Tribolium castaneum: one gene and its partner. The protein of the gene in region 1 interacts with the protein of each later gene in a pairwise test. Links are inferred from orthologs where the notes say so. Each region holds a gene or a part of one and is shown in the gene's direction. Other genes may lie near its edges.

The links.
Region 2: the proteins of Caf1-55 (region 1) and Hat1 interact in a two-hybrid assay, tested with the Caenorhabditis elegans proteins (4 studies listed by BioGRID). The link is inferred for Tribolium castaneum from reciprocal best matches to the Caenorhabditis elegans genes lin-53 and hat-1.

The regions. Positions count from the first base shown.
Region 1 is NC_087399.1:662,013-665,893, reverse strand, and holds Caf1-55 (histone-binding protein RBBP4), read left to right. Parts: upstream 1-1,238; 5' UTR 1,239-1,376; coding exon 1,377-1,398; intron 1,399-1,498; coding exon 1,499-2,617; intron 2,618-2,738; coding exon 2,739-2,881; 3' UTR 2,882-3,058; downstream 3,059-3,881. Other genes in the region: tudor and KH domain-containing protein homolog, read left to right, coding at 1-261, 315-619; hgo (homogentisate 1,2-dioxygenase), read right to left, coding at 3,270-3,881. UniProt on the Caenorhabditis elegans protein: Core histone-binding subunit that may target chromatin assembly factors, chromatin remodeling factors and histone deacetylases to their histone substrates in a manner that is regulated by nucleosomal DNA.
Region 2 is NC_087400.1:2,898,030-2,901,750, forward strand, and holds Hat1 (histone acetyltransferase type B catalytic subunit), read left to right. Parts: upstream 1-1,071; 5' UTR 1,072-1,238; coding exon 1,239-1,347; intron 1,348-1,396; coding exon 1,397-1,481; intron 1,482-1,530; coding exon 1,531-1,781; intron 1,782-2,103; coding exon 2,104-2,448; intron 2,449-2,497; coding exon 2,498-2,763; intron 2,764-2,814; coding exon 2,815-2,976; 3' UTR 2,977-3,041; downstream 3,042-3,721. Other genes in the region: nsl1 (KAT8 regulatory NSL complex subunit 1), read left to right, coding at 1-353.

The DNA.
Region 1 (3,881 bases):
ACCGCAAGCAGGAAAATCGCGAATCCCACATTTTGAATAAAGTGACTAAAGGCGATCTTGTCGCTGCTGTGTTCCAATACGACAGCAAATGGTACCGGGCTGAAGTGCTCAGTCTGAGTGACGATAACCCGCCCCAAGCTGAACTCTACTATGTTGATTACGGGGACACGGATTTGGTCCCCGTTGAGGAATTGTACGAGTTGAGGACCGATTTCCTCCGACTGCATTTTCAAGCAATTGAGTGTTTTCTAGCACGAGTTGGTACGATTATTTATTTATTTTTTTGGGCGTTTGGTGGGTAAGTGGGTTTTTAGATCCCGTGGGAGAGAGTTGGTCGGTGGAAGCCGTGGATAAATTCGAAGAGTGGACACATGTGGCGCAGTGGAAGAAACTGTCGGCGAAAATTAACGGATATTGTGTTAGGGAGAAGACGAGGGCGAAGCGCGAGGGCTCTCCGGTCCCCGGTGTTGATTTGTTCGATGTGAACGGTGAAAAGGACGTCGATATCGCACAAGAATTGGTTAATCAAGGGTTCGCTGTTTTTAAAAGAGACGTGGATTTGAGGCCGAGCAGTCGCGCCACGAGTGTTAGTAATATTAGTGTAGCTTCGAGTTCGTAGTTTTTTACCCAAATTTTTCGAAATAAATTTTTATCGCCCTGTTCCTCAAGTTACTTAATTCATTTTTACATTGCTCTTATTTTTATTTATTTTTACGTTTTAGGTGCAATTAATTATTTTTTTAATATTGAGTAACCCTTTTTTAAATTTTGAAAGTTTGTGCCTTAATGATTATCTTCAATATTGTGATCTTGCCCGAGATTCCATTTATATTTCGTTGAATAAACCCTCTTAAGTTACCTGAGTTTTTTTTTAACCTCCACCTCTGTAAGTAAACGTGCATTATTTAATAAATCCTAAAGTGTTAACTTGAGCTGAAAAATTAGTGAACCAGACTCAAGCTGCATACTCTATTTTTTCTACAACCTGATTATAAGTTATATTAAAAAAAATCACTGAAAATTAATTCAATTGTGAATTTTAAAGTTTTCGGTTCAACACACAATCGTGCTCATCGCTTTCAGTCGCATAATTTTTACTCCCTGTTGCCACGTTGGCTCTCAATTATATATTTTTTCCTTCTATTTTTTTAATAAAACATTGGAATACCATGACTATGAAGCATCGAGTTAGCTAAATCAAAACGTACCACCGCCAAAATTTTGGCCACGGTTTGCTTAATTTGAATCTGCTGACTTGTGGCGTTGTGGCACCACTGTTCCAAATTGGCGGGCTAGCGTCATATTTAGTGGACGGCTCATTCATTTTTACTTGAATTTATCAATTTTAACATTATTCGTTTGTGTTCGTTGTAACAATGGGGGATAAGGGAGACTCCGGTAAGTATTTTCTAGTTTGCCTCGCCAAAATCACGCTTTTTTTGTAACTTTGCGAACGTAACCTTAAAACCCGGTCAACTGCACAAAAAATCTTACACAGAAACCTTCGACGACGCGGTCGAGGAGCGAGTCATCAACGAAGAGTACAAGATCTGGAAAAAAAACACCCCTTTTTTGTACGACCTTGTAATGACACATGCCCTCGAGTGGCCCTCTTTAACCGCCCAGTGGCTGCCCGATGTAACGCGCCCCGAGGGCAAAGACCACTCCATCCACCGCCTAATCCTCGGCACTCACACCTCCGACGAGCAAAACCACCTCCTGATCGCCAGCGTCCAGCTCCCGAACGAAGACGCTCAGTTCGATGCCTCGCACTATGATAACGAAAAGGGCGAGTTTGGCGGTTTTGGCTCAGTTTCGGGGAAAATTGAGATTGAAATTAAAATCAACCACGAAGGAGAGGTGAACAGGGCTCGCTACATGCCCCAGAACCCGTGCGTTATAGCCACAAAAACCCCCTCAAGCGACGTGCTAGTGTTCGACTATACGAAGCACCCCAGCAAGCCTGACCCCAACGGGGAGTGCCACCCGGACCTGAGACTCCGGGGGCACCAGAAGGAGGGCTACGGGCTGTCCTGGAACCCCAACTTGAACGGCTATTTGCTCTCGGCCAGCGATGACCACACGATCTGTCTCTGGGACATTAACGCGACCCCGAAAGAGAACCGAATTATAGACGCGAAGACCATTTTTACGGGGCACACTGCCGTGGTGGAGGACGTCGCCTGGCACCTTCTGCACGAAAGTCTCTTCGGTTCGGTCGCAGACGACCAGAAATTGATGATTTGGGACACTAGGTGTAACAATACGAGCAAACCGTCGCACACTGTCGATGCACACACTGCTGAGGTTAACTGTCTCAGTTTCAACCCCTATTCGGAGTTTATTCTTGCAACTGGGAGCGCTGATAAGACTGTAGCTTTGTGGGATTTGAGGAATCTTAAGTTGAAATTGCACAGTTTTGAGTCGCACAAGGATGAGATTTTCCAAGTGCAGTGGAGCCCCCATAATGAGACTATTCTGGCGTCGTCGGGGACCGATCGCAGGCTGCATGTCTGGGATTTGAGCAAAATCGGAGAGGAGCAAAGTCCGGAGGATGCAGAGGATGGGCCTCCGGAGCTCCTCTTCATACATGGGGGCCACACGGCCAAAATTTCAGGTAAATTAATAATCTTTTTTGATATTTTTTTTTTTTTGTGTAAATAATCTTTAGTCGTATTTACTTAACGTTTTCGTAATTTTTATCAAAGTGTAATTAGCGTTTAATTTTTTTTCCTTAGATTTTAGTTGGAATCCCAACGAACCGTGGGTTATTTGTTCCGTGTCTGAGGATAATATTATGCAAGTGTGGCAAATGGCCGAGAATATTTATAACGATGAGGAGCCCGAGCAACAGGCCGATATGGAAACTCCAGCGAATTAGTCTAGTTTTTTTATTTATGTTTAGTTTTAGTGTTACCTGTAAGCATACCACGTTCTCGTTTCCTTTACTGAAGTAATTAAGTGAAAGTGTGACCATTTGTGTTTATCAAACTGAAACATTATGTTATCCACAATATTTTAAACATTTTTTACAAATAAATAAATACTTTGTCCAGAACACTTGTTTTATTTACAATCGTTCGAATTTTAATCATTTATTACCCGCTAACAGTCAACATTTCCGCCAAGTTTCATTAAAAAAATTTTATGACACAGGTCGAATAGAAATTGCATAAAAAATTATCTTCAATTCCTGATTTATAAATCAGGATTAAAAAGGCTTATTTACAAAAACACGAATTGTAAACGTAGTAATTTATTGAAAAATCTCATTTCGGGCCGGTAAAGTGGCTCTTGAGCCCTTGCCAGCACTGGTAGTACTCCGGGTCCAGCTTCTGGCACGTCTTAGCCCCCCACTTGGTGACAGCCAACCCCAAACAACTCTCAAACATGAAGGCCTGGGTCCCATCAGCCACTCTGGCCGGCTTCAAAACCTCGACACTTGCCGCCTCAAAACAATTAAAATCGGGCCCGTGCGGAGTCATAATACTGTGCAAAGTGGCCCCTCCTGGCCTAAAACTCCCTCTCTTCGCCTCATACTCCCCGAAAATAAGCCCCATAAACTCGGACATGCAATTCCTGTGGTAGTAAGGCGGCCTGAACGTATGTTCCTGAACGGACCAACGCGGCGGGAAAATCACGAAATCGGCAATTGCCGTGCCCTTTTTCTCAGACTGACACGTCAGGACGGTGAAAATCGAGGGGTCACAGTGGTCGAAAGACACCGAATTGATGACATTAAAGCGGGCAAGGTCGTACTTATACGGCACGTAATTACCGTGCCAGGCCACCACGTCAAACGGGCTGTGGTCTTGTTCACACACAAACAATTTGCCCTGGTATTTGGCCACGACTTCGTATTTTGCGACATTACGATCCTC
Region 2 (3,721 bases), on another chromosome or scaffold:
TTCCCGAAGAGCTCCCCTCCATCAGTGCGATGCGTCGTCGGACGATTTCGCAGTCACGTGTCGTTCCGACGACTGTGGCACGAGAGGAGAACAATACGCCGGAAAATGTCGAAGTGGCGCCGTTTGACACACGAACGTTTCCATTGGACGACGAAACGTACGAGAAGATGCTTAAAAGTATGCCGGAAAATCACCAGTTTAAGACGAATTATCGCGCGCAGGATTGTGATTATTTGGACGAGAAGGTGGACTCGCCCGGGAGCGAGTCCACCGAGTCGGCGCTGGGCGAAGAGGACCCGAACGATCCCGAGTGGGTGGACATGGAGAGGGTTAGAGACAGGCATAAGAGATAATTTTTTTTTCGGTTCATTTTTTTGATAAAGCTTGGGATTTTGTATTACGAGGTCTGTGATTGTCATTACATTACATGTGAGATACGTCAATACAGTTGTTGCTTTTTTAGTATTGTAATGTATTTAAAAATACAGAATTCGAAGCTTACGTGCTAGGTTCAGTTGACATAATTTGTAATATAATCATAATTTAAGTAATTTCTTTTTGTACTGTTGCAGAGTCTAGTTCACTTGATTGTAACATGACTGGTTAGACTAGTTACTAATTTTAACTGTACTTTTGTTACTGAATTGGTAGTTATGTTACTTTTTTGATGTCAAGTACAACCCAGTGACTTGTTATATGAAATTCTATTGTAAATAAAGCAGTGCAAATATTTGTTATAGAGATATTTTCGAAATCATTTGCATTTTTTTCGTTTTTATGAGAATTATTCAAATTGTACATGCTCTTCATAAGAGACAAATATGTATCATATTATTATTAAAGTGTTTATTGTAAAGCAAATCGCGTTATATCTTTGCAAGTATTCACCATGTAGTTACTTCCTGTAGTATTGTACGTTTTTATATGCAGATGTATTGATTGAATAAAGTCCAATCTGCTTATTTTTACACTTTACGAATGGAAACGTCGTTTCGCCCCTCCTCACGACACGCCACTGGTTTTTTCAAATTTCCCGCCACATTACGTGACATGCGCAAAAAATCGCGCGCCAGCCGACTTGACCACAGTTAACTTGTGTTCGGTTATGTGGCCCCAAAGGCCCTCAAAATTGTTTTAAGTGTTTTCAATTTCGAAATTTGTGGTCACGTATCATTTACGCCGCCTCTTATCACGGCACAGTCACTTTTTGTCGGAAAAAAAACGGCAAAAAATTCGAGATGGCTAAAAACAACCTAAACGGAGACAGTGATGTTTCCTCGAACTGCGAAGACGACGAAATGGTCTTGTACAAGAAGCTGAGCCTCAACGTGATCACGTTCCGGACCGGTGAGGGCCCCCTTAATTTTGGCGCTTTTTTCGTTAATTGCGGTTACAGTGCGAGACAAGCAGGATCTGGAGGACCCCCCGAGGAAGGGCAGCTCGTTTAAGCCCGACATGGCCCACCAGATATTCGGGGAGACGTAAATTTGGTGTTTTAGTGAGTTGGAGAGACCTAACCTCACTTTTCAGAGAGATGATTTTTGGGTACAAAAAACTGGCCATAAATTTGTTTTATTTGCACAATTCGGCCAAGTGTTACGTTGAGGTGCAAACCGGGGGGAAAATACACGAAAACGCCGATGATATCATGAAAGCGCTAAATCCCTGGCTGCCGGAAAACTACCGGACTGAAAAGAGCGATTTTCTCGCCGATTTGGACGAGGAAAAGCCCGGTCTGATGTTCGGGGACGTGATCGACACGTTTTCCACCGATTCTGAAAGTAATTGCCCCGAATTTGGGCCAAATACGGTTTGGTATAGGTTAGGATGCGAAATGACGTACAAATAAAATGTCCCGATTTTGGGCACTTTTATTAGTGTCACCAGATGGCGCAGTTTATTTTTTTAACGGTATAATCGGTCTTTAGTAGAATTGCAACAGAGTTTTAAATTGAAAAGTTAAAGACAATAATGAAAACAATAAAAAATTGCCAGTACCAGTAATAATAATACTAGTAATAATAATAATGCACGATTTTAACTCTCGTTTCGTCTCCTAATCTATAGTCCCCCGGTCCAAAAAACCAAATTAGATTTTTCCAGATGTGTATAAAGTGACAGTTTGCGACCTGAAAAACCCCGACTTCCGCCAGTTCCACCAACGTTTCGAGACGCTAATCGTGTGGTTCATCGACGGCGCCAACTTCATAGACCTGGAGGACCCCCGCTGGGTGATCTTCTACGTCTATGAAGAGGGCCCCGAGTCGCACTTCACCCCAGTCGGTTTTTGCACCGTTTACAAATTCTTCCTCTACCCCAACTTAACGCGCCCCCGAATTAGCCAATTTTTCGTGCTCCCCACGCACCAGAAGCGCGGAATCGGCACGAATTTGTACAAAGCTGTTTACAATTACTTGAAACAAATGCCCGACTCGGGCGATATTACAGGTTCCTGTAACGTAGTAATGGCCCAGTTGGTACGACTGTTTGTTTTTAGTGGAAGAACCGACCGAGGTGTTCCAGAAAATACGCGATTTTTGCGACAGCTTGCACATTTATGAGGATTTGGAGGGCAAAGGGATCAACATCACGACACAAAACCTGAAGCAAATTAACGAGTTTTTGAAGAAACATAAGATTGGGAAACGACAAGCGCAGCGCGTTTTTGATATTTTAGAATGTCTGACTGCGCATAAAAACGGGTATAAGGAGTATGTCAAGTTCACGGAGGGGATTCGGAGCAGGATTGCCAACGAGATTGAGGTGAGGCGCAAAAGTCCCTAGGTTTTTTCACAGTTGGGGTTTTTTTCGTAGAAGGAGACTCGGGGCAGTAAGAGATTGTGTAACTTGGAGCGGGCCGGAATTGTGACCGAACCTATCGACAAAAAGGCAGCTATTGATGCAGAGTATAATAAATATGTGGATAGTTTGGAGTGGCCTGTGAATCGGTTGAGGGCACTGTTGGTCAAGAAGTGACCTGTTTATTTATTCTCATTTTTGCATTTTTCATTAAATTTTCACTAATAAAGGTTTTTCTACTAGTGTTTGTTTCTATTTTTTATCCTTGGCTTGTTGGCAGAAAATTCAGTACTGCCAACTAAAACTGAAATCCGTCGAGTACTTTCTGGTTCAGAACAACTCTTAAGTTAATTTTTTTTAACAACTAAAAGTTTTATCACCTGTTTAAAACGCCCGCTGTTTGCGCTGCCAACCTTCCCACCTAAGTCCCCCAGACGGTTTTGTGCCGTTTGTTTCACCTAGAGGGCGCCACTACATTAAATACCACAAAAAATAAAAATTTTCAAACACACTAGATTTTGGCCTAACAGTTTTTTAGAGGTTGGCGGCTGTTTTTTTTGCATTTTCAATTGTTTTTAATTGCTGGAAATGGTGGATTTATATGAGAAATTGGTGAAAACGTGAATAAATGATTAATTTGCGCTGTTTTTTATTCATTTTATGACCGAAACAAAACGGAATGATTAACTCTGTCTTTGTTTTACTTGTTCTGACGTCAGCAAAGTTAGAGATGGCGCCACCACAAAAAATAGAAATTTCATAAATATTTAAAACCTAATTATATCACGTAAAAAATTTTTAGAGAATATTTTTCCAAATATTTTGTTTTTAAATGTTAAGTGCAGAAACAATACTAACGAAAAACATAAGAATAAAAAATTTTAAACGAAACTACAGTCGAGTTTTGAAAAAGAACACAAGA